Lonchura striata: one gene and its partner. The protein of the gene in region 1 binds, or shares a complex with, the protein of each later gene. Links are inferred from orthologs where the notes say so. Each region holds a gene or a part of one and is shown on either strand. Other genes may lie near its edges.

Evidence for each region. Proteins that work in one complex are often made in the same cells at the same time.
Region 2: the proteins of NMUR2 (region 1) and NMU are in contact, whole or in part, in a cryo-EM structure (PDB 7XK8), measured with the Homo sapiens proteins. The link is inferred for Lonchura striata from reciprocal best matches to the Homo sapiens genes NMUR2 and NMU. Residues at the interface, in NP_064552.3 of Homo sapiens: Ser42, His43, Gly98, Glu102, Glu105, Met106, Trp107, Arg108, Asn109, Tyr110, Pro111, Thr123, Phe126, Glu127, Asn181, His185, Pro199, Ser201, Thr203, Cys204, Val206, Tyr213, Phe284, Arg288, Phe291, Glu295, Trp297, Ser298, Glu299, Ala302; in NP_006672.1 of Homo sapiens: Glu146, Phe152, Ala153, Ser154, Gln155, Gly158, Tyr159, Phe160, Leu161, Phe162, Arg163, Pro164, Arg165, Asn166.

Annotation. Positions count from the first base shown.
Region 1 is NC_134617.1:5,838,341-5,845,895, forward strand, and holds the start of NMUR2 (neuromedin-U receptor 2), read left to right. Parts: upstream 1-4,401; 5' UTR 4,402-4,497; coding exon 4,498-5,217; intron 5,218-7,555. UniProt on the Homo sapiens protein: Receptor for the neuromedin-U and neuromedin-S neuropeptides.
Region 2 is NC_134606.1:27,417,433-27,425,003, forward strand, and holds the start of NMU (neuromedin-U), read right to left. Parts: upstream 3,236-7,571; 5' UTR 3,221-3,235; coding exon 3,079-3,220; intron 158-3,078; coding exon 99-157; intron 1-98.

The DNA.
Region 1 (7,555 bases):
TCTTTGCATTCCGCTGGGCCAGAAACACTTGGTACTGCCAGCTCCTCCAAGGATTAAAACGGGGAGTTTGAATCTGCAATTCAGAACTTTGTGTGGCCCCAAGGGCAGCTCAGAAAAGCTCCATGAAAGCAGCAGGGAACTCAGGCCCTGCAGAGCAGCTCCCTCACACAGAGCCTCTAAAGGCTTTTGCCCCTGCCTTCAGTACCCTCAAACTGCAGGGGAGAAAGCACTGAAACAATAGAGTCTGCAAAAGGAAATTAGAAATGAGAAAAAAAGCCAAGCTTCACCTGCTGAAGATAAAAAATATTGGACCTTCTTGCCAAGAATTCTGGCAAACCCAGCGCCTCTCCAAGCCCTTCCAGTGAAGCAGGATGACTTCTTGAGGGTGTGTGCACAGTAAGAAGTGCAGCATTTTCCTGCAAAGTCTGAGCAAAATCCCCTGCAGCTCTGCTGAGAGATGCCAGCTCCAGTCCTGGGTGCCAAGTGGACATGTCAGTGCAGGATTACACGGGCAGAGTCCAACAGAATTCATCTGTGTGGCACACCAGGGCATTTACACAGTTCTTTTACTTCCAGATCCACAACCAAGCATGTGATGCTGGGTGAGAAACCTCCTTGTCTCACCACATAGCTAAAAATAACCAAAAATAGCTTGTTTTGCATGAATGCAAGTCTCCATTCTGAAATAAAAAAATGTTCAGAAGAGTCCATCATGATGGTTCATATCTCAAAGTACCTCTCACCCCTCTGTCAGTGGTGCCAGTGGAGCATTTATCCATTTTCTATATTCTTCCACTGTCCTCTGCCTCTTGATTAATGTGCCCAATTTTCCCATTTCCCAATTACTCACCTGTCAATTTCTCTTGGGGTTCTGAAGGTCAGGATGACCCCAAGAGATCAAAAAGAGTCTTTGCTTCCCTTAGCCTGAGCAGCCAAAGAAGGAGCCTGGAGTGCTTCTGATTGCATTTTCAAGGTTGTTTATTTCTTCTTACCTAAATTCTCTTTCTCTCTGATCTGCCAAACTCTGCCTAGCAAGGAGGCCATAACATTTCTGCCTTAAGCCCTGGGCAGCTCCTACACTATATACTCAAAACTACATGTCTATATTTACAATTTCTTCACCATTTTCTATCATCTATGTTGGACAGTGTGTCACTATCCTTAACCAATAGAAAAGTGTCACCATCACACCAAGACACGGAGGGCAAGAGGAAGGAGAAGAAGGTTAGGACACACCCAAATTCCTCCATCTTGTACCCCATTGAACACCATATTTAAAGTCCCAAAATTCTACTTTTCCACACTGTGTTAATTCAAGCATGACACTACTAAAACCCTTGTGACTTGTCATTCCTCATCCAGAGTTGACAGTTTTTCATGGGCTGAAATCAAAGCCACAGATGTTTTTGATTTCATGGCAGGGTCCCTGAGACCCTTGCCAGGGTCTTGAGACAACCAGGGCAGCCAGAGGGATGTCCTGGACTCCAGCACTCACCAGGTACTAATATAAAGTAGTTAATGGTGTCCTTACAAGGGCTTTGACATGAAGGTGTTTGAATTCAGCCCTTCTTAAGTTTTCACTTTGCTTTTCATAGCAGCACGTTCCACTGGCAAACATTCCACAATGTAAACCTGGGACAAGAGACATCACCAGCGTGAGGACACTGTCAGTGCCTCACTGTGACTCCTGCACAGTGCCAAAAACCTTGTCTGGGTTAATGTTGCCAGCATTACACTGCATTAATGGAGATGTTACATTACATTCATTGCATTGCTGTTGTATAAAGCTGCACAATTCCAAGGCCAGCATGCAGCACACCCTCTTCCTTGCAGTGTATAAAAGCAAGCACTATTGAAGTTTGCTTTATAAAGAAAAATATCAAATGCTTTAATATTACTTTCATAAGGAAAATCTGTTTTTATTTTCTGTCTTGGTTGTAAAAATAAAATATTTCCATTCATATAGAGCCAGAGCAAGTCTTTGGTTGAATACATTCTTCTATCCTTATTGAGACAGATATGATATAGAACACAAATAAAGATTTGAGAAATAAACTGAAATATATTTTCCACTCTCTTTGTCCTCTCCATCTACAACACAGTCGTGGTCATAGCAACATTGGTCCATGGGTTATCTGGTTTTCTTCTGCTTCTATTCTTACAGGTTTTCAGCATCTGAGCTCAGCAGGATCAGAAAGGATTGAGAACAAGTGGAAGTAGGCACAGGTGGGTCTGGCACATTCACACTTTGAGGTGACCTGGTGTGTTTGCACAGCCCATTGCTTTCCTCTCACAGAGATCACAGTGGGTGTCACTGCCCTTTTGGCTTTTTAGTAAATAACTCAAACCTCTCTGGTTTCCTTTTCTGTAAGACTGAGTTCAAGCTGAACAGACTCAATCTTCCACTTCAGTTTCTTTAGAGAGGTTAATGTGCAAGAAGAAAAATGAAGCCAATTTGGTAGCTACTTCAGAAGGGTTTACTCACCTCAGGTATGCTGCAGGGTGGAGTGGAATTATGGAATTTACCGGGGAAGAAAAAGGAGAAATGGAAAGAAATAAAGTACTAAGAAAGTATGTGGGGAAAAAAAAAATAAAACAAAACAAAAGACATAAATAAAACAAAAAACAAATTGAAAGTGAAGCAGAGGTACAGAAAATGTTTAGTGCTGTACAAATTTTCAAATACTTGTCTTCTGCTGTGCTCTGAAAGAGTTAATCCTGGTGTCAGCCAGGAACTCAACTAATGATTCCTCTCCTACTTCTTACATCAGCAGCAGATCAAGATCAAATTTAACATTGTTAAAATGCAGGGAATAGCTATAAACTGAATCCTTAATGAAAGGAGCAATGGGTCAAAAGGGCACATTTGTTATTCAATAATCCAGTAAAACTTTTCAGTCTGCTGAACAAAATACCTCCATGCAATGCTGAAAATAAATGAGCTGGGTCTTTCTGATGCAGTTTTTATGTGAGATAATTTCAGCAGGTCTGAAAGTCATCACAAGAGACTTGCTTCTGCCTTTTAGTATGTTTGTTGTAGTACCTTCCACGCCTTTCACATTTCAAATGATTTCTCAGTGATTCCCAGGCTCCACACTTTGAATGTGCCTCAAAGGAACCAGCCCCTGGTCCTTCACACGCTGCTGCTATTTTGGAGGCAGTCTGTGCTTATTGGAACAATCTTTTTCTTTTCATTGAGAGATCAAGCTAAAGGGTCAAACAGAGAAAAGAGATACACACACAAATAGCAGATTCAAGGAGTTCCTTGCCAAAGGATGTCGGGGATGTAAAAGGTTTACATGGCTTCAAGGAGGGGACAGGGCAGGTACTCAAATGAGAGCTAATGAGAGGCTCTGGGCAGACAAATCACACACCAAGCTGACAAAAATCCCATAAATGAGCCCTCAGACCTTACACCTCTTCAATTTCAAACAGCTGAATCTCAGAAAATTTTATCTACAGACTTGGGACCTTTTTTGTTTTAGAGAAATTCAGGAGGTAATCAAGCATTCATTCAGAGCTAAATGATCTATTTTGGCACAGCCAGGGTTCTTGCAGGAGACCCTTTTTTTTTGGCTCAGAAAGTGTGTTTGCAGAATGCTTGTCATTCAAGAATAAATAAGAGTTTATAGAAGTTTATGCCACATAGGCAATAAATATGGAATAATATGCTGTACAGAAATATTCCCAAAACAAGGCTCTCTAAGAATATAGGATCAAATTCCAGCATACTTGGGAAGTGAGAAAATATTTTGATGTCAATAAGAATTGCAATTAAAATCTTTAGTCAGACCTCAGGAGAAAAACAATTGCAGTGTTTAAAAAAAGGCTGAAGCATTATAATTCCACAGAAATGGCTACAGAAATTATTTGGCTTTCTACTGATCAAAATCTGTCTCCAAGTACTTGCTGCCATAGACAACAGAAAATAAAAATTAGCAGAGATTTGAACAACAAAATCATGCCAGAATCTTTTGTTTAGTTGTGTTTTGCTTGTGGCTCATAACTAGGATGTAGCACTATAATAATTTTGCAAAAGCTTTTTGGACTGAGTTTTGGGGGTGTTTCTGGTCTGCTTTCCCACCCTCTGACATAAACAAATAACCTGCATCTGGTTTTGTGTCCCATTTTTCAGATTGGCAGCTCCCTAAATCCCACTTTAGTGACTCTGTAAATGCATCAGCTGCGGGAGCTGATGCAAGTGCCTGGAACCTCTTTCCCTACACTATAATCTAACGCACGTAGCGAGCCAATGAATATGTGGGAAAGGAGGGGCTTTCTGGCTGAGGGGCTCTGCCAGGGAAACAGCTGTGGAGCAGCACAACCTTACCCAGAGCCAGGCAAACACACTCATTCACATCCTCAGTGGCTCTGTGCTTCCAGGGCTGGCAAGGCAGCTGCCCCCTCCTCCTCTCTCTGCAAGAAGTGAGCAAACTTGCACGGAGAAACAGAAAGGACAGCAAACCTCAGCTGTGAGACATTTCAACAGATCCAGCAATGGCCTGGGTCAGTAATTTCTCCTGGTTAAACCACCTTGCTCTACATGAAGAACGTCTCAGGAGGTACTTAAACAGCACTGAGGATTATTTAACCTTCCTGTGCGGGCCCAGACGGAGCCACCTGTTCCTGCCCATGGCTTTGGTGTACTCGGTGATCTTCGTTGTCGGGGTGGTGGGGAACTTCTTGGTTTGCCTCGTCATCCTCAAGCACCGCAGCATGAAGACCCCGACCAACTATTACCTGTTCAGCCTGGCGGTCTCAGACCTGCTGGTGCTGCTTTTCGGGATGCCCCTGGAGGTCTACGAGATGTGGAGCAACTACCCCTTCCTGCTGGGGCCCGTGGGCTGCTACCTGAAGACGGCTCTCTTGGAGACCGTGTGCTTCGCCTCCATCCTGAGTGTGACCACGCTGAGCGTGGAGCGCTACGTGGCCGTCCTGCACCCGCTGCGTGCCAAGCTGGCCAGCACGCGCCGCCGCGCCCTCAGGACCATCCTGGCGCTCTGGCTGCTCTCCGTGCTCTTCGCCCTGCCCAACACGGGCACCCACGGCATCGTGCTGCAGCGCTTCCCCAACGGCACGCTGGTGCCCGGCTCCGCCACCTGCACCGTGGTCATGCCCCTGTGGATCTACAATTGTATTGTGCAGATCACTTCTTTGCTCTTCTATGTGCTGCCCATGGGGGTGATAAGTGTGCTGTACTATCTGATGGGGCTAAGAGTAAGTCCTGCTCCAACTGTGCTCAGTGTTTCCTTGGCTCATTCTTGTGTGTTTGTGTCTATATGTGGCTTTTGAGTGACTTTTGCACCTTCGTTGTTGCCCATGTTTTCCCCTCAAAACAGCAAAAGTGTTTCTCAAACCTCTGAAAATAGTAGATCCAACTTCTTCTCTGGTGCAATCCTGTTCTGAGATTAGTATAGCTATGTTGAGGAATAATTTACCCCAATCTTCTTATAAAAACTTACCATCACTGCTGCTCACATCTGAATGTTAATGAAACACCCAAGTCTGTAGATTGTTTCCAGCCTCCCAGAGATTTACACCTTTGCAGTAGGGACTAGAAAGAAATGGACCAAAAGGAAAATGTGAAAAGAATAAAAAGAAGATGGCTAGTGATTGAATCTTGTGTACTATTTGTTTTCTCTTTCCTTGTAGAATTTCCATTGCATTACTTTCTTCTTTTCCTTCCCTGGAGCTGGTGGTTATATTCACTTGTTAAAACTCACAAAGCTCGTAAACTGAAATGTTAGCTTATTGCTGCAGCTAGAAAATTCATCAATTTATATAACTACAGCCTTGTTTTACCAGGCTACCTTAGAGCTTATATTCATTCTCTCTTCAGAAATTGAAACTACTTTTAACAAGTATCCATCACGTCAATATGTGGAAAAACAATCAGGATCACAGTGTTATAAAACTACATAGCACAACACTGAAATGTACTGCTAATCACAGTGACTTGATGACCACTTTCTTCTCATAAGTTACAGACATTTAGACAATATAAATCCCATTTTATCACACTGAATGTAACTTAAAGTTTACAAAGATGTGTCTGATCCCTTAGCAAGAAAGGAAGACAAATGAACTTATTAAATAATATGCAAGAAACTCAACTAAATCTCTGCTGGTGTACATATCATTTTTACTTACCCAGGGAAAAAAACATGGATTATCTGCCAGAAATCCACAGAACAGAGCAGATCCTCAAGGCAGTGAATGGGTTAAACTATCCCCAGTGTCTGGAGGCTGTTGAGGGGTCTTTTGCAGAGTTTCAATTAATATTTTGCAACATTAGACCCGAAGGGAATGAAAGGTGATGAAAATAGAGTTGTTACAAAAAGAAAAAGAGAAATCCCTGAGTTTATAAAAGGAAGACTTGAAGGTTGCAATAACTTCTATTTGCAGCAGCAGATATTCCTATACCCCATCCCAGAAGAGAAGCTCAGTACCAGATGAGGGCTGATCCCCCAGGACTTCTGCAAATTTCCACATTTGTTCAAGCTGTCTTTCCTAAAGACAGGAATGTTCACTGTTTGTGCCTCTGTTTTTCTGTACATCCAGCTCAGACTTCCAAATTTTAACAGAATCCATCCTGGCTAGATCTGCATTATCTCCAAGCTGCACTGGCAAGATTTCATTTCTTCAACAGAAGTGATAGAAGAATGATGAATATATATAATTTTCCAAGAGGAGACACTTTTCATCTGCTCACAGAGGAGGAAATTAATGAGGTTTTAGCAGCACCCTGCAGTCACCTGAGTGCCATGTATCACTCACAGAACTCAGTGGAAAAGATCAGGGTTGATCCAAAGGTTGTGCAACAGCTTAAATTCAGCAAACAGAGGCATGACCTTTTCATATCCAGGCTTTGTAGAAAGGGCATTTGTTCACCATTTTCTCTCTCAAGCTCTGCCAGCACTGGACACTCTCAGGATGCAATGCAGATGGGGACAGGGACCTGCCAAGCTGCTGTGAGAAGGCAGCACACATGGGTCATAGGGTACCTGAGTCAATTTATAGTTCAATCCCTTGAAAAAATGTAAAAACACATTTGTCTTTTTCACTGGGAAATGGTTGATTACCTCATTATCTACTTGGGTATAATTTTAAGGCTTGGTGGTTTAATATTGCAATGTTGTGGTCAATTGATCAGTTGATCACCAGTGTAAAGAAGAGGACATTGCTCATTGCACTGTAAACTCATTAGGCTCAATTGTGGAAGCTTCCTGCTGCCTCTTTCATGGGGTTCCCATCACAGATACCTTTAGGATAAATTCCTAAATCATCCAGGCTCTTCAAACCCAGTTCAGCTGTTGAGGTGTGGGTTACAACCCACAGCCAAAGAGCTGAGGAGGGAGGGGAGAGGGATGAGATGAGAACATGGGGCAGTAGCTGCTCATGGAAGTTCATCCGTGGGGCACTGATTGAGGTGGGATGGGATTGCTTGGGGACAAGTCTGCATTGCAGCAGGATTCAGTGCAAGGTCCCTGCCCATTTCTTTCAAACTGATTCCTAAAAGGAATGCAGGTGCTGATCACAGCTTGTCTAAAAATCA
Region 2 (7,571 bases), on another chromosome or scaffold:
GAACTCCGTGCAAGAGAAAGACTGGATAGAGAGGTGGGACTGTAGCAAGCATGGGCAGAGAAGAAATGTGAGGATACCACATGGCAGATGATGCTTACCTCTTTCAACAGCTGCATATCCTCATCTGATGTGAGTGCTTGGGATGGCATTGGTGCACCTGGAAGCACAAACTGTGCTTAGCAATGCTGTACAGCAAAGGTCATTTGTGTGTCCCACATCAGATGTACCTAGCACAATTATTAACTGCAGAGGCCGAGAGCTGCTTGGCCCAAGGAAGTCTGTGACCTGGGTGCTCTGTGGCTTTTGCCTGCTCTATTTCAGCAACACAACAGGATGCTTTTTCACAATTCACAGCAGATATGGGCATTCACATAATAACAATAAACTGTGTGGAGGTTACTTAGGCCTCACTGAGACCTACTCAGAAAATCACATTCCAGTTCCTACTACCTTGAGCTTTCTGAGAGCTCTGCTCACCTCCAGTGCATGCACTGTGAGTTGAAGATCTGGACTCTACTTCTTGCCTTCTTGTATGCTACAGCTGCAGAATTGAACATGCACTACGTAATGTACGATTGCATATAAATAGTGCCCATGATATGAACATGTTTTGACAAGGTGATAGACAGTTCATCTGTAACTGGATTCGTTTCCTCTGTCTTGAATATACGATGTGGAAAAGCTTGTCCCTTAGTACATTAAATGTGTTCTTAATTGCATAAAAATGCAGTGAAGCTGTGCTTAACTTGGGGGATCTCCTTTCTCTATCTCTACCCACCCAGGCTGTAGACATGGAAGTCACTGTCCCAGTATCCCTTCCAGCTCAATGTCCAGAATGTCCCTCTTACCACATTGCTATTTTACCTGGCAGTGTATTTCTGATAGCAGTGTACTGTTAGAGTCTCTGTAAATAACAGAAATGATCATCACCAAATTGTGAGTCTGTCACACACCACGCAGTGATGTCAGTGAGGGGATGTGCTGTAACTCCCATGAGAGGAAAACTGGTGCTGGACCTCTAGACCTAGCTAGAGTGTCCAGGGAGCAGGGAATAAATGCCATCATGTTATTTGTTTTACATTTACCCCTGATAACAATAATCACAACAGTAGTTAGTTCCAGACATTAATGGAATGGGATGAATTTCAAAACCACATTTTTGTACTGGCACAGACTTGAGGCAACCAATTTTTATGGATGCTTGCTTTGCCCCAAGAAAGAATTAGAGGGGATCTTAATTTCACACTATATAGAAATGTTATTTTTAAAAAAATCTCTGAGTTGTTCACATAACAAGGAAACTGATTTCCAATTATTTGTTTCATTTCAAAGAAAAATGCCAAATAAATTAAAGGTGCTACAGTTGTCTTACGTTGTCTTCTGCTCTTAAATTAGTGTATTCAAACTGGAGCACTAGCTGAGATTAGTATCCTAGTTAAAAGAGTGGGACAGGGCAATCTTTTCAAATTAGCACACCTTCCCCATCAGAGCATTGCCTGCCTATCTCTGAACACCAATTCTGCAATTGACTGGCTCCCAAGGATTTTCAGGGAGACCTAAAGAAATTCATTTGCATGCATTAGTAAACCTTAGGGCAACAAGCAGGAAAGCCTGAGTATTATAACTTTCTCCATTTTTTTGGCCTGTAGCATAAACTTCTGGACAGAGAAGATAAACTATTTCCCACTCCTCACTTTCCTTTACCCTACTCTACATATTCAGAAATTTTTATTTCATAAGAAATCCCATCTATTTTGTGAACCTAGGACTGTGTTCCTCCAAAGACTGAACAGTGTTCCTTCATCACCCCATTCAGAACAGGGCTGCAGTACCTACAGGACTTCATTCATTTCCACATCAGCACACACAGTGAAATATTAAGGTTTTTTTTCAATATACAGCACAAAACCATAGGGAGAATTGGGGGGGGGGGGGGGGAAAGAAGGCAAGAAAGAGAAGAGAAAGAAGAGAAGAGAAGAGAAGAGAAGAGAAGAGAAGAGAAGAGAAGAGAAGAGAAGAGAAGAGAAGAGAAGAGAAGAGAAGAGAAGAAAAGAGAAGAGAAGCATGTGCTATTGAAGAAAAGAATCCTATTTAAAGGGAACACAGAGGAGGAAATCTTTCTACAAAATCAACATTGTCAACAGCACATTTGCTGTCCTATCCTTCAATTCTGCCATCTTTAAAAAATTCAGTTTATTTCAAGGCAGTAGAATGCCAGATGCGCAGCCTGGGACTCACATCTTCTTACATTTTCTCTTCCCTCCACTGCATCCCTAAACAAGCTCCTGCAATCATTTGTGTGAGAACAGTGAAATACTCTGTGCCACTGCCCTCCATTGTGCTCCTCTTCCTTCCCTCTGCTCTTCCACATCTTCCGAACTTCTTTTTAACATATTAAGTATGCTGCCATTAGATTTCTTTGGTTATTGATATTAAAAAAAAACAAAAAACAAAAAAACAAAAAACAAAAAAACAAAAAAACAAAAAACAAAAAACAACAAAGCAGGAAAAAAACCCTCACAACTAAAGCAAATCACACAAATGAAATACAAACAAAATAGAAATGGTCCTTGCACGGCGTTTTGTTACATTACTTTACAAGCTGTAAGCAGCTAATCTATCTGAGGTGGGAAAATAGAGTCGAAAAGAGAGTATGGTTTGTTAAACAGTCCGTTGGATGTTTCACAAGAGCCCCCTGCTACAAAAATAGCAACTTTCAGGATTCCTCACCTGATAAATATAGCGATATTTATAGGTTGGAATGAGTGACAGAGGGTCCTAATTTGTCCTGCAATTTTGTGACACATGTTGTCCCATGTCTTTTCTTACCTTTTAAAATCAGAGTAAATAATACTTAAAATTACATCTCTTTCAACAAAAGCCCTCGTTTCCCAAGGTGCTGGAGTGTTTTGCCAGGACAGGGTAACCCTGCCGGGACACGGGAAGAAGCCCCCAGACCCATCCCCGGAGCAGCGCCCAGGGGCTGCCCCGCAAGGCTGGCAGGCTGCGGGCACCCTGCTCCCCGATAATGGGCAGAGCTGGCGGCCAGGACGGGATTGCGAGCGGGACGAGCCTCACCTCTGCAAGCAGAAACGGAGGAAGCGAGGAGAAGGCAGAGGAGCAGCAGCGGGGAGCCGGGCAGCGCCGCGCCGTCCGCTGCCTGCCGCGGGCTGCGCCCGGGGGCGGCCGCGGCGGGCCGAGGGTGGCACAGGGGTCCCATGTCCGCCGAGCTCCCGCCGCCGCCGCTCTGCCAGCCGCTCTTCTGGGCATGGCCTCGCTCCCTGCCCCAACTTTTTAAATCCCCCCGACACGTGGCCCAGCCCCAGCCCGGCTCGGAGGGCTGCCCGCTCCCCCCGGGGCCGGCGCCGGGTGACTCAGCCCGCTCCGCCCCGCCGCTGCGCCGCTGGAGCCCGCGCCGTGCCGCGGGGTCCCTGCTCGGCACGGAGCCGAGGCGCTGGCCAGGCTCCACGCCCTTTAGCAAAGCCCCTCCTCAACAAAGAAAGCCGCGGCTAGTCCCCCGGAGCCCGGCGGGAGCCGCGGCGGCTGGCGCGGCAGGTAGCGCTCCCGCACTGCCCTGGGCGTTCCGAGCGATGAGACGGGGCGGCGAAGGGTGCTCAGACACCGACCCAGCCCGATGCGCGGGGGAGAAGAGGCGTGATTTAAAGCGGGTAAATCGAGCCTTCTAGCTGATTTGCCCCCAGCTGGCTGAACTTAGCAGTAAGCTTCGTGAAGCTTGCATGTGGGAGAAGCTGTCGGTGGCTCTGGGGAAGGGCACCCCTCTGTCTCTGCTGACTGGTCACTACATTTTCTGGAGACTCCCCGGCTTCAAAGGTGTGACTGCCTCCAGACTTTTCCTATGCCTTCAATACACACAATGCCACACCATGAAACAGAACTCAGCATATGGTAATATTTAGCTGTTAAAATCTTAATACTGTGCTTAGCAAGGTATTTTACTTATAATGCAGCTGCGGACCTTGGTCCAATTGTTATTTGTGCCTGTAGATAATGAAAGAATGACTGACAATCGATGACAGTCAAAAGTACACAGTCTCCAGATCTGTTAAGGCACTCGGGCAGTTTAGTCCAGCCATCTCTGAAGCTCAGCAAGGTCTGGCTTACCAGAGTGGTTACCCAAGTCTGCCGTTCCTCCTGCTGTCAGATCCAACAAGTGATGATCACCGCTGCCAAGAGTGAGCAAGATGCTCATGCTGGTGCTGACCTGTTCCTCACACCGAGCCCAGCAGCAAGGTCTGACTTGGAAGTGTGGCACATGTCTGACTGTCTCTGCTTTCTCCCATGTGCTCCAGGAAGGTCCTGCGCAGCTGAGGCGCTGCTCCGATGCTACAGAGATGGTTCCCGGATGGGAGATCCCAGTTTAGAGTCTATCTTTATGATTTGTTTTCCCTTCTTTTTACATTCATATTTTTTTCTCTTGGTTGCATTGTTTCCTAAGGAAATTAGTACATCACAGTCCAGCAATGAGGCAATAGCGCAATAGTAGAGGTTGTCATTTTCTGTAACAACTTGCAGTTCTTTTTTACCATTTCAGTGGGTTTTGACTGGGGGGCTAAATAGTATGTGGTGGGGTAAATCTGCCTGACAAGAGCACTTGTGGTTACTGTGAAACAAAGCAAAACTTTGATTTATAGCCATAGCATTGGTCTCTGCTCTTTTCCTTCACCTTTATCAGATGTATGTGAAAAAAGTGGGCTCTGCCACCCTGGATACTTTGATAGGCCATCAGAATTGCAAAAGCATTGCCAAGCAGCATGATAAGATGCTGTAAAATTCTTTTAGTAATAGAAGCATCTTCTCTCTCAGATTCAGTAGCAAAGCTTTCCTTTATATGTCTGTGGACAGAGCTAATCCCCGTGTCAATGGAGAGCCAGTTATCAGAGCAGCATATAAACTGAAGAAGCCTGTATTTTGCATATATGGTTGTATTTATAGCTACGTAATTAAAAGGGTTTTTTTTTTTAATAGTTTTAATTGAGGTATTGCATTGAGTTCTGGTTTTTCATTAATAAAAGCAGAACATATTTATTTGATAAAATGATCATAAATTCATCAGTCCTGAATGATATCTCCCCAATCTATCTTGACTCAGCTGCATGAATCAGTGTCCCAAGCTTTAGCCTAAGGAAGGATTTAATTTGTTATGCATTTTAATTATTACAGTCTTGTTAAATATTTAATAGATGGTGAAGTAAAATAAATTACAATCTATTATGATTAGAGTACAGGATACCTGTAAATATTCTGCACCTGTTGAATGGTGCAGAGTGTTTTAAGAATACTGAAGAAAAGATCTTGAATTAAACTAGTGTCAGGTGAAAGGTTTTTGATTAGCCCAGAAGCTGCATTTTTGCATAGTGTGTTTTAATACTGGAAACTGAAAAATTTTGCTGAGACCACTTGCACAAAAACATATCAGGAGATTTTGAAGATTATGGAAAAAAATTTCCAGGTAGAAAACTTCTGGTCCTCCAATTACCATTAAAAGAAAAAAATTGCATTTCCTGATACGTGGGTAAGGTAATCTGATTTGGGAATAGTTATAATCCTCCTTGTAATATATTAGAAAAAACAATATAACGTCTAACAAAAATGTATATTTGCACTAAGGTCAGACTATATATTATACCAAAATAATATTTCTACTGAAATTGCTGCAAATTTTGACAGAGCAACATCACCAAGCTTGAATCTGAGTTTATAGGAAGCTTGTATGGTTTATGACAGTCACCTTTATTCAAGGAACTCACCAAAATTCAAGTAAGCATTCTTGTAAACAGGAGAAAAAATACATCTTTCTTTATTGTATCTGGTTTTGTTTTGTTTAATAGCTTGATGAAATTAATGTTACACTATTGCGGGAACAAAACATATCCTCATTAAACGAATAGCTTAGAGGATGTTTTGGATGCTGTAATTAGCTTCTTTGAAATATTTATGCTCATTCTAATGTTGTTTGAATAAATGCTAATTATGGCTAGTGGAAAGGAAATCAAAGAGCTGAGTATGTGAAAACATCATCTTCCCTGTTTGTGCAAAGGCAGGGTCAGGAGGTATGTCACTGAATCCCCTTGCTGCATGCATGCACGTGCTGCCTCTGAAGAGGTCAATGCATGCTGGTTTTTCTATGACTTTAATTTAATAAAAATGGTGAGAAATCATTCTTCCTACATCTGAACACAAGCACTCTGAGTGCTTTTATCCATACTGCATTTTCTTCATCAATGTATTTCAAACTTACTGGAGAGTGCTTGAAATGGCTCGCTGTGTGCAAGCATGAGGATGCTTCTCACAACTTCAGATGGGTCCATTAATAGCTTGTTAGTCCTTCTGTACAATGGGCAAATTGCCTTTTTTATGTTCTAGAGAATTAAATTTTGTGTAAGAAAGTCTCAAAAACTAATTAATGGCTGCTCAGATACTGTTCTCCTTCAAGGTATTTTCTCCTTTTATTGGTAATAATGAATAGAGAGTTTGTGTCAGAACAGAAAAAGATCCATAAAGAAAAGTCACTGGAGTCTCAATTGAAGAATAAGCATCTCTAAATGAGCTTTTATTACAGTGTTGGCCTAACACAAAGAGACAATCAGTCAGTAGTAGTCTTTAGGGATGTCTCCCTACAAATAGAACGCAAACAACAAAACCCAAGTCATATTGGGCATGATAGACCCTGTATTTTCTCAAAAAATTCCTTTTATACTTTATCTAAGATGATGCCTCAGCTCTTCCTTTATGAATAAGTAAAACATAAATGACCCTCTAATGAACTAGATCTTGCCTGAACTACTGGAAATGAGGACAGAAAACCCAGCCACTGTGCTGAGAGACTCCACTAGGGAACAGTGATGGGACTGATTACAGCAAATGTTCAGAGCTCTCTTCAAGAGTTACAGAATATTTTGCATAAAAAATTCCTGGTGTAAAAGAGAGATGACTGAAACCTTTAATGACTAAAGAAAATCTGATGACAGTAACTAAATTCAGAAAAAACATGCTAATCTTTCAAAAATTATGACTACCTGTGAATACCCAGAATAAATGTGCAATTTTTATGGACTTGAGTTTGTTTTAAAAGTGGAACAGGTCATAAATGAATGAGAACAGGCCATAAACAGATGATAAACCTTTCTCCACCAAACTCACACCATTTTCCATATTTTCCACCAGCATTCATTATTTATTCTATACAAGCATGGGACTAGAAACAGAAGAGATTATTGTTTTATGAAGTCCTGATGATTGTAGAAAAAAAAAATTCTGTTCAAAAGAAAGGAATAATTATCTACTATAATTACTATGTAAGAAGTATAGTCGCACAATTTTTTTTTGAAAAAGGCTAATCTTCAAGATACTCTCATCTCAACTTTTCTCTCCTCAATATTGCTTTCAGAATCTAGAGGTTTTATTAACTGAAAAGACCTTAAGCAAGAAAATAGAGAGTGAAAGGAGATGAGTAACAACACTTAGAAAATGTCATTTTCCCTTCCACACTCCTGTGAGATGAGTTGGGCTTACAATGGGATCATTTATCTTGTAATGAGAGACAAACTCAT